3 linked regions of the Macaca fascicularis genome follow. The protein of the gene in region 3 interacts with the protein of the main gene of each other region in a pairwise test. Links are inferred from orthologs where the notes say so. Each region holds a gene or a part of one and is shown on either strand. Other genes may lie near its edges.

Region 1 (4,431 bases), on a different chromosome or scaffold from region 3:
CAAAGCTCTCCATGGCAGCACTCTCAACCTCTAGGCCCTGCCTTGAGAGGACAGGCAGAACTCACACTGCTGCTGCACTGAGGACAGAAGGGCACCTACTGAGGGCCCATGGGGAGATGATGCTGGCCCTTCAGCTCTCATCCACCATCCCATCTTCTTGCTGACCATCCTCCCATCCCCGCCACCTCCAGCTCACCAGGCACAGCTGGCTGCACTGATGATGGGGGATCAGAGATGGGTACTGCAGGTAGACAATGCGACATTGGTCTGGGCTCAGCCGGGGAGAAGAGACAGCCAGGGAATCATCTGAGAGGAGCTCTGGGCCAGATGGAAACAAGAGCATCACGCAGGCTGGCAGGGCCAACATGTGTCAGCAAAGCACAGGTGGGCATCAGCCACTTACCACACTTCCCCCCGATGAGGTCCACATAGTACAGGGCTGACCTGGAACCGCGAGACAGACATTCAGTCTCAAGGCCAGCTGGGCTGCAAGGTCCCTTGCCTTGCCCCACTCCCTCACCTGCGATTGGTGCAAAAGCGGATGCCCAACCGGAAGGGCTCATGCCACCAGCCCACAAACACCACACCAGCATCTCCAGGGGCCCAGAATGCCTGCAAACAAGATCACAGGGCAGAAGTGAGCAAGGGATGGTAGCTGAAGAAGGGCCCCAGACTCCAGGAGGGACATAGGCTGTTGCTGCTGACCTGTCCAGGGGACACATTCTCAGGGACCCCCTCAAGCACAGAGATGTTGCCACTCTCGACATCCAGCACGCAGAGCACAGGGATGCTTTTGGAAACCATGTTTTCTCCCCAGTCTTCGTAAAACACAAACTGATCCCCCTGAGAACACAAGATACTCAATGCCCAGCCTGTCTATAGGACCTGCTCTGCTTCCTAGAAGCTAGTGCCTCCCCAGGTCTGACAAGCACAGTATGGGAAGGGAGCACACTGAGCCCCAGGGCTGCCCTGCTGGGCCTTCGTGGATTGACCACGAGCACCTTGATGGGTTGGTCTGGCTTCTTCAGCCTGGCTATCTCATCATCGCTGGCACTGACGTCCAAGGCTTTGGTCTGAAAGAAGGACTCGGCCTTGGGGCGCTTCCTCTCTGCCACATACAACAAGTGTGTCTCCGAGTGCGACCAGGACAGGCAGCCAAAACAGTCTGGGTGCAGGGAGGGCCAATCAGGGGGGGGCCCAGGGCTACGGCTACCCCTCCTGTCCACCCTGCCTGCTCACCAGCCAGATGCCTCACCATCCTCATAAACAGGCCCATGTTTCTCCAGCACTGATAGGTTGAAACTCTTGAGCTTCCGGTTCTTCTCCCAGACCTGAGGACATCTGGGCATTAGGCTGTTTGCCCGCTAACAGAGCCTTATCTGTGGGGCAGAGCCTCTCTCTAGTCACCCACTACCTGGTCCCATGTAGACTCACCTCCAGGAACTGCTTCTCTTCCCCAGGGCCCGTGCCTCCAGCCTTGCGCAGCACAGCTTTCATGCTGCCTGAAGGAGACTCTCTGCTCAGCAGTCTGTGGACATGGGGTAGCACAGGTCAGGAGTATCTTGCAATAACCCCTTCCTGCTCCCTTACTGGGCACCACCTCTTAGGAGAGATTCTTGAGGCTCTGGCCCCACACCAGCTTCTGGAGCACCTTGCCTTTCCTCCCTGAGGCAGAGACTCTACTCTCCCCAGCTCCCCCAGGCCACCACAGGCTCTAGTCCAGGTGAGTTTGGAGCAAGCCTCCGTTGCTTATCAGGCCATGTCACCAGAAACTGAATGAGCTCCCAAGGGGGCAAGAATCTGGCTCCTGGCCTCCCTTCTAGGCACATGGTGGGCATTCACAAAAGACTTGCATTGCAGACGCTGTGGCCTTGCTCACAAGATTCCTTCCTCAAACTTACTCCCCCCGGGTCTCCACACTGTTGCCTGCAGGTCCGGCAAACACCACTGAGTCCCCGTCATGGAACACCAGGTATTGGCGGCAGAATCGAATGTTCTCCATGCGTTCCAGGTCCCTCTGGGTCCACTCTGTGAGGAGAGGCATGAGGCTGCTCACCTTGTCTTGGCTACTCCTGGCTACTGCCCCCCAGCCCACCTGACCCAGGAAGGCCTAGATCTTCCTCAGTCTCTCAATCTGTCTCCAGACACTGACACCCTGGCTGCGGGCTGGACAACACTTGTCCACAACCCTAGTCCAGGCCTCCAGAGCCTGAGCTGACAGCCTCTTTGAGAGAACCCCCTAGTAACAGCACCCACCCTGGAATCTTGAGGGCAGCCTGGCATGTGTATGGGATGGAGTGTTGGCGGAGCACCCTACAAAGTCCACGCCCTGAGCCCAGGTTTGAATTCTACCCCTACACCATCATCTCGTGCACTCATGGGCACCATCCGATAACGCCCCGCACGCCCCCGCCTCCCCACACACCTGTGTGCAGGGACCTGTGGGAGTGTATCCTCCAAGTACAGGCCGGCTCCCCATACACCCTTACACACTGTCAAGCAGCGAGCCCTCCACACCCGCTTCCTTCCCACCCCAGTGCGCGACCCCGTCGCCAGCCAGTTCCCCTTCGCACACACACCAGTGTGCACCGTCCGGTACTGGCCGCCGTACTGTGTGGTGACCTCCGGGCCCAGGCAGGCGGCGCTCAGCGCGGGCTGGCGGCTAAGGCCCCGATACAGAGCCGCCGCCTCCTCGGGCTCGCTCAGCAGCACCTGCGCAGGGGACACACCAGGGTCAGGCCCGGTCCGGGCTGCAGGGACCACGGGGACCGCGGGCCGAGCCCTCACCTGACGTTCCATAGTCTCCTCTCTGCCGCCTGGGCGCGGCGGGGCGGGGGGGTGCTCGCGCCCGGAAGTGAGGCTTCCGGGGGCGGAGCCTGGGACCGCCCGGGCTGTCTCCGCCCCTGCCCTGCGGCAATCTGGGAGGGGGGGCTTTCGGCGAATAAGCGAGAACCGTTGGCAAGGGGCGGGCCTTGACGGTGAGAGGACCCGGCCTGGCAGCGAGAAGTCCCGGGTGGAGAGAGCAGGGGCGTCGAGAGGAGGAGCTGGCCTTCCAGGGGCGGACTAGTCAAGTTGGGGGCGGGGCCGTGGGCCAAGTCCCGGGCCTCTTACCGAGGGGCGAGGCGTTGGATCTCGGAGGAGAGAGGGCGGCCCTGTGGAAGCGGAACCCGGGAGCCGGGCTTCGGGGGGGGTAGAAGGGCCTACGAGAGAAGCGGGTGAGACAGGACTGCGAGGCGGAAGCAGCGCGGTCGGACGGGCATGGCCCGAGCACCTGAAGGGCGAGGCCCGAGGGGAATGGGACCAATGAGTCTCTGAGGATGAAGGGCGAGGCGGGCGGGTCCAGAGTGCAGCCCCGCGAGGAATGAGGAGCCGGGAGCCCGTGAGGGTGAGGGCGGGGAGGGGGGAGCCGGCCGCATCGTGGATCTCCCGCGGCTCTGGGGCTGACTGTAGGGTTCCTTCGGGTCCACTACCAGCCGACATTCACTAGACAGTGCCAGGCCCTGCCCTGGAGGGACTCCCAGGCAGACGAAGAAGAGAAAGGCCAGAGTCCGGGCGGAGGGCGCAAAGCAAAGCCCTGGGGTGCGGGGCAGAGGGGCGAGTGCCAACTCTCAGGGTGCTGCCTGGGCTTATCAGTCACCAGGCCTGCCGCAAGAGCTATCTATCCCCGCAGCCTTTACCCACCCTTCTCAGTGGCTCCTTGTTGGGGACTGTGAGCCGGTGGGTTCCTTCCCCTCCTCCCCAGGCCTCAACCTGAGCTCTTGGGTGTGGGGACCCTGGTGGGCTCAGACTCCACCAAGGTCCAGGGAGCTTCCTGTGGAAAGAACCTAGGCAGGCAGGCTTCCTGTGCACGTGGCACAGGATTGGCTGGGCTAAGGTGCCAGCAGAGATCAGGAGAGGCTGGACAGTAAGGATGTCCCCTCCATATACCTGAGTCTGGCTGGTCTTCCACATCAGGGCCCTGGCTCCCTGCTCCATGGTGTGCTTGTGATTGAGAGTCCACCTGTCTGGCCTGCAGCTTCCCCTTTCCCATCAGCCGCATCATTACTTACTCAAGATTACTAGTTAAGTTAAAAAAAAGAGTCCTGGCCGGCCGGGCGCGCTGGCTCACGCCTGTAATCCCAGCACTTTGGGAGGCCAAGGCGGGCGGATCACGAGGTCAGGAGATCGAAATCATCCTGGCTAACATGGTGAAACCCCGTCTCTACTAAAAATACAAAAAATTAGCTGGGTGTGGTGGCAGGCGCCTGTAGTCCCAGCTACTCGGGAGGCTGAGGCAGGAGAATGGCGGGAACCTAGGAGGCGGAGCTTGCAGTGAGCCGAGAATCGTGCCACTGCACTCCAGCCTGGGTGACAGAGTGAGACTCTGTCTCAAAAAAAAAAAAAAAAAAAAAAAAAAAGTTCCGGCCGGGCGCGGTGGCTCACGCCTATAAT
Region 2 (2,547 bases), on a different chromosome or scaffold from region 3:
TTTGGATTAACATGGTCCATAATTATTAACTGCAACAAAAATGCTCCCATTGTTGAACATATTTTACCTAAGTATATTCTGCTCGTCATATAACCTGTCAGGAAGCTGAAACTTGGAGTCTCCAAAGCTGTTGCTTCCTAGGACTGCTGTGTCCTAACAGCTGGCATACGAATGCCTAATACTGGTTTGCCCTAGACTCAAACTTTTTAAAGGATTCTAACAATATACAAACTCTGCTTCCACAAACAAATACAAGTGACATATGCTGCAGTTCACATATAGCAACCCAAAATGCCCCCAAGTCTAAATATTACATTAACATCTTCAATAGCTTAGTTTGCTCAGAACAAATGTAAACTATTTTGATAACTACAAAAGCAGCAAAATCAAAAGCTGGTACTTTAAATTATTCACATGCACATTATAAAAGGGAAAGGGAATACAGTTCAGAAGAATTTTAAAGGCCCAAACCAAAAAAAAGATGTTCAAGATGCTAGATTAATGAAAAACTCACAAATAAATGTGACAACAATGAAATTATAGATCTTGGAAAATGTGTCCTCGTTCTTTAATGTTAGTGAGAGTTCTATACAGCAGAGACATAACTGAAGAAACACATTACTTTGATTTGGGTTTATGCATTGTACTTTTAATCACTTACTGAGAATATTTCAAATTTATATTCTCATCAGGAAAATGTAAAAAAGATACTGATATATATTCTGTGATTTTATGCCACAAACACCCCTGTTATGAGATCATTTAATAGGAAAACAATATTGACATCTCTTGTTCCATTTTCCCATTAGATATATACATACAACTTTAAGATAGTTTAAAAATAATCATTCAGGTTATTCTAAAATTTTGTCATAAAATTAGCAAAATATGCCTTCTGTTAATTGCTAAAACCAACATTTCACATATAAAAAGCATGTGATCTCATTCTACATGCAGCTCTATTTCTGGAAATTAAAAACCTATCATTTCATGGGCTAAATTATAGAACTCTCTGTATTTGAAGAACTACTTCACAAGACTGTTATGATAAATGCTTTTTATTACATAATATTTAGTAGTCATGCTCAATCAACAAGGTCAACAGAAACTTGTGAATATTCTGCTAAATAATGTAGCACACTAATACATACACATTTTTCAGTGCAGTAACACTGAAATAATCCTTGTATCCTTTATTCAGACAATTCTGCAAACTAGGGAATAAATAAAGATAACACACAAGAACTTTGTTTTAAAGCAAGTAAGATTAACAGATTAAAATTTATTGATAAACGAAAGACTGACCCTGATCCTAGTAACACCGAACTCAAAGTAGCTCCTGGTCAGAAAGTGCAATAGAGGGTGCATGAAGGAATCGCTCTATGGTCTCCTCAGTGGTCTATTTTAGGTGATTTTTTTTGTTTGTTTGTTTTTACCGCTAAACTGTCTTAACTCATAATAAAAAGTAACTAGTCAAAATTTAGAACATTCTGATCAAAATGGGTCTGCACATGCCTTTCAAACACCTGCTGGTCATAGTCAGGAGGGAACTGCTCGCTGCACATCGGGCACACCTTCCAGTGACTTTCAACATGTTCTTCAAATTTGCTCTGATCGTAGTTGGGAGGAAACATTAACTCACAGAGGGGACACTTCTTGTGAACATCAAAGCTTAAAGAGAAAAATGAAAAAATTACATATTTCTAATAAATGTAGAACAACAGTAACTTGTCCGTATATGACAAGGTTCCATTTATCTAGTTAGCTGATATTCATACTAAACAACCTACAAGTCTTTACTCCAGAAACCTTTCTCTGCTTCTAAATGCTTGCTGTAGACAATTGTGTAACCCATTTATAGAGCCTCTAAATTTAGTTTTACAATTAGATTAACAAAACTTTTCCCCTTAAAACCTTCCAAATCCAATCACAATTATGTGAAATTATTAGTACCAAGAATTCTTCCACGTTTAACAGAAAATGCCTTTTGTAAGACTGTAAGGATAAATACAACTCATAACTTCCCACCAGTGCATTTGGTTTAATAGCTAAGTTTTTATGGCACTGGTTCTCAAATGATTGCATGCATCAGAATCAGTCAGAGGACACGTTAAAACACAGATTGCTGGGCCTATGCCCAGTGTTGGTGTTTCTGGTTCAGCTAGGCCAGGCCCTACATATGTGCATTTCTAATGAGTTCCCAAGGACCACCTTTGAGAACCACTGGCCTAAATTAACCCAAATTATACAAAGGAAAGAAAAATCTACCTGGAATCAAAGCAAAAGCCTGTCCCATGCCCACGTAAGTGTTGACTTGGAGGATCAGGAGCAGTAGGCACATTCTCATCTTCCTAGGGGAAAAATAATTTTGGAACTTTTAAGGAAAGTAAAACCAAATATAAATTCCTTAATTCAATCAAGCACATACTGACTGTATAAAAGAAGATTACACTTCAGGAAATTTTCTCTCTGTTATCATTTAATTAGACTTTCAAATAAACATGTTTGAAACTCTGCAGAGTATTTCACTATGGACTAACAGTGTGG
Region 3 (4,169 bases):
ACTAACAAAACTGGTTTAGGGCCTTATTTCAAGGATTCTCGCCCTTCCTTTTGCCCAAGAATCTTCTAGGGGGTTTACTAAAAAAGTGGCTGTCCTTTCCCAGACCTCAATTCAGGATTCAGCTTCAAATAAGTGGAAACTAGACATTCCTAAAGATTCTCACCACCACATAAAACTAAAACAAGCTCTTTACTGCTTAGGATTACAGGGCAATTTCCAGCAATTACAGTCATTCAGGGGTTCTAGGACCAGCCTGAACTGCACGAGACCCTTTACTACTTCTCACTCTCCGTCTCCCCACTGGCTTTTGACATTTTCCCTGCTCAAGTGCCAAGCAGTATTTGAAAGGCTGAGGGAAAGATCGAGACACTAACTTCTCATGGACAGCTCTAATTAAAAAAGAAAATGAAAAACTTGTAGAGTAAGAAATCCATTTGCCTTTAAAAACTAAAATTTATGATTAGCTGAGCCTCCTCCCATTACCAAAAGTTGGCATTCCCTCCACTCTACCCAGACGTTCCCTGTTTATAACACTGTTTCATCACGTCATATTGCCATCGTGACTTCTTCCTCCACTAGAGGACGACAGCTGTTTTGTAGTCAGCGCCCACCACCATCCCTATTACATAGTAGGTGCTTTAAATATGTTCGCTGGCTTTTATTTTTGCCCTGTCTCCCAATGGATAATTAATATTGTATTGGATCTGCTCTCAATCCTGGCATAGGTAAAACGTTATTTTCTAGAACTCAGTTACCGGGTTATAGATGATATTCTGTAGGTTGTTTAATGACAACATCATCCTTTTCCAGCTTCTTGTTGGAGTCTCTTCTGTGTATGACCTGAGATTTTAGGCCAGTTTCATTTAAAGGTTACCTGGATTGAAACTGAGGCACTGGCCCTGTGTAAAGTAAAAACAGAGGAAAAGAAAAGTAAGCATGCAGCATTTTTCTTCATATCCTATTTTAAAATTTAAATTATACATTATGTTACTGATATTTACCAAATAATAGAATGTTATTACAATCAAAGATCTGCCTCCCATTCTTACCAGTGTGCTCATATACTAAACAATTTTGGATTGTGAGTGTAGGAAATACTGACTTAGAAAATACATCAGTAGAAAATTTCTAACATGGAATTTATTATTAAAAATACTAAAATAGGCCAGGCATGGTGGCTCACGCCTGTAATCCCAGCACTTTGGGAGGCCAAGGCGGGTGGATCACCTGAGGTCAGGAGTTCGAGACCAGCCTGAACAATATGGTGAAATCCCATCTCTACTAAAAATACAAAAATTAGCCAGATGTGGTGGCATGCACCTGCAGTCCCAGCTACTCAGGAGGCTGAGACAGGAGAATTGCTTAAACCTGGGAGGTGGAGGTTGAAGTGAGTCAAGATCGTGCCACTGCACTCCAGCCTGGGCAACAGAACGAGGCTCCATCTCAAAAAAACAAACTAATTAATTAATGGCCATTACTAATCAAACAGTCCTGTACAATTATCAGAGGTATTCATTTCACTTTTCATTTCCATAAAAGGACAATAATTACAGTATTCACATCATTGGTTTGTTCTGAGGATTGAGTTAATAAAATAGTGAAAGAGTAAGTGCTATGTTAGCTATTATTATTGTGAATAAAAAGAATTGCTCTTCTTCCTCCAATTTAAACAAATCAAGGTGTGGAAATCCAATAATTTTAATACTATTAAGATACAATTTTCTCTGCTGCTTTAAAAAAAAAAAATCACAGGGCAGGGGAGTGTTGGAAAGCATTAGCCACATTTTTTAAGATAAAAGCACCCATGGACACTACATTTAATAACTCTAGGAAAAACTCGATGACTTTAAGCAGAACTAAAGGGGAAACGAAACTAGAGCTTCCTGTATTTTACTTCCAGCAATTGTCATTATACCGCACACCAACAATACACACCGATCAAATCTATTACTTTTTCTTTATTAAGAAAAAAACTGTACCCCTCTTGGTTTACCACCTAAATATAACCCCAGTCTATGTCATTAACTTAATTCGTTAGTCAAAACCTCAAAACTCTGGCTCCGTGACTCAATACAGGAAGCAAGAACAAGAGCAAAAAGAATGGATGCCGAGTTGCCATACACATGTGTGATAACCAGCGAGTGACCCAATTTAAATCATCGGCTTGCATTAAATCACGCAACCCCTGAAGTATCCCCAGGGACAGGTCCCGCCAGCATGACCACTTCGTATGCATCACAAGAAGCCATCACTTAAGTTTCACGTACGGTCAAAGGAAGTCACATGACTTGCCCTTTGTAATGTTTAATACTGCAGTCAAATGACTCGGCATCCTAAAGCGCGTGTTAGAGGCAGGGAAAGCAATGTCACTACAAATTCCGGGACGGAAGCTTCCCCAGATTCCTCCACTTGAAGGTGGCTCTAGGCCTCAGGTTAGGAGGGAACAGGGTAGAAAGCAGCACAGGTGCGGTGGATTTGCAGCGAGGAGACACCCCAGGACAAACAGCCTGACTCCAGCCAGGGATGTACAAGAAAGGCCGCGACTCCTGATAACCCCTTACGCCCCGGAGCAGCCTCGCCTGCAGAGGCAGCGTCCCCGCCACCCAGCCCCGGCTCTGCCGCGGTGAGGACCTGCGGGTTGGGGTGGAATGGACACTGTCCCACCCATCAAATTGTGATTTAGGAGCCGTGACATCCGAATGCCATCCTCCACTGGCGAGGCCCTCAGAGCAGCCACCCCCCTAGCGACTGTCCCAGTGGCCGGGGGTCGCGCTACTCACCCAAGGACTGGTGTTTCAGGCGCTCCACGGAGCAAGTTGTCCGTCAGCCGCTAGGTGCCGTCCGGTTCCCGGCTGGGGCGTCCGTGGGCGGCTACGGGAAGCGACAGGAGTCAGTCCTCCTTCACTTCCTGGCTCTCCCGCTGTGGTCTCCCCACCCTACCCGCGCCGCCCCGTCTGTGTATGGAGCGTCCCTGGCGGCTCTGCTGGATTTTGGACAGGGACCCGCCACTGATCGCCACCCAGCTCGGCCTCCTGCACAGCCTCTGGGGCCTTGGACCGCGACTGGCTTGCTGTGGGAGAGCACAGAAGATAAGGACAAAGAATGTGTCCTGGGTGGATCTGGCTGCCTTTGCCCCGAAGGCGGAGTGGGTGGAAGGTGGTAGGAAAATGGGAAGGAAAGAAGAGAAAGGCTTTCTCTTCCGCAGCAAGTGGGCCGACGTCCACTTGGCTGTTCCAGGCCTCCAGGTCTAGGAGGGCGCTCAGGGCTGGGACTTTCCGGGACCCGGGGTGATCACCGCACAGGCCCCGCCTGCCTGGACCCAGCGCTGGCCTTCCCGGGGCGCCCAGGTCCACGGGGTCAATGCCAGGGTTTTCTCAGCTTCCTCGTCTGCCTCGGAACGGAGTCCAGACAGTGCCAGAAGAGACCTGAAGGCACTGCTTTTTGAAGGTGCACACCTCTGGATGTAGGCGAAACTGGGGGAAGGGTTCAGTACCTTGGACTGTGCCCAGCTCAAAGCGCCCCATCCGTTAGCGATAACATGGACTCGTAGCCACTCCGCGTCACTCGCTAGTTACCCTGCGCGTGGGTGTTTTCTCCAAATTGGACACTTAGGGAACAGTTTAAGCAGTATGGAGCACAATTCTGTGCGTATTAGATGCTCCGTAAATACCCAACTTCTCAGGGCTCTACACTGATAGTTTGACCTATTGGCTGTAAACACACCAGCCAGAAATATAAATAAAGTTTGAAACAAAGTCATGTCAGCCACTTGGAATGGCTTGCTGCTTATTGTTTGTTTTGTGTTAGGGACCTCAAAGTTCTCATCTTCTCTACTTAACTTTTATCCACATTTGTTTGGAAAGATATATTTTAGTGTCACCAACATGGGCTTTCTCCTCCTTGGCTTTTGTTTTCATTATTTTTTATTTTAATCGAGGAATTCATTACAAGTCCCATAACTGGGAACTCATGTTCTGATTCACTGTTGCTTTTCTCTCCTCCTTACCCATTTTCCAAGTTAGATACACTTCTCAAGATCCAATTTGAATAAGTGAATTTACCCTTGACATACACTGCCTTGGATTTATAGTTATCTTCTGGTGTGTGTCGTGTGTTTTATCTGTCCAACTCGACTGTAGTTTGAGAATGAACTTGTCTTATACATTCCC

Evidence for each region.
Region 1: the proteins of LGALS8 (region 3) and APEH interact in binary tests that used the Homo sapiens proteins (3 or more experiments, as listed by UniProt). The two-hybrid records come from large-scale screens. The link is inferred for Macaca fascicularis from reciprocal best matches to the Homo sapiens genes LGALS8 and APEH.
Region 2: the proteins of LGALS8 (region 3) and TAX1BP1 interact in binary tests that used the Homo sapiens proteins (3 or more experiments, as listed by UniProt). The link is inferred for Macaca fascicularis from reciprocal best matches to the Homo sapiens genes LGALS8 and TAX1BP1.

The regions. Positions count from the first base shown.
Region 1 is NC_088376.1:112,691,151-112,695,581, reverse strand, and holds the start of APEH (acylamino-acid-releasing enzyme), read right to left. Parts: upstream 2,833-4,431; 5' UTR 2,800-2,832; coding exon 2,788-2,799; intron 2,713-2,787; coding exon 2,580-2,712; intron 2,029-2,579; coding exon 1,902-2,028; intron 1,529-1,901; coding exon 1,435-1,528; intron 1,332-1,434; coding exon 1,256-1,331; intron 1,166-1,255; coding exon 1,002-1,165; intron 844-1,001; coding exon 706-843; intron 613-705; coding exon 521-612; intron 445-520; coding exon 404-444; intron 319-403; coding exon 197-318; intron 1-196. UniProt on the Homo sapiens protein: This enzyme catalyzes the hydrolysis of the N-terminal peptide bond of an N-acetylated peptide to generate an N-acetylated amino acid and a peptide with a free N-terminus. It preferentially cleaves off Ac-Ala, Ac-Met and Ac-Ser.
Region 2 is NC_088377.1:102,440,382-102,442,928, forward strand, and holds the end of TAX1BP1 (tax1-binding protein 1), read right to left. Parts: intron 2,352-2,547; coding exon 2,269-2,351; intron 1,672-2,268; coding exon 1,470-1,671; 3' UTR 623-1,469; downstream 1-622.
Region 3 is NC_088375.1:12,615,887-12,620,055, forward strand, and holds the start of LGALS8 (galectin-8), read right to left. Parts: upstream 2,855-4,169; 5' UTR 2,781-2,854; intron 900-2,780; 5' UTR 801-899; coding exon 756-800; intron 1-755.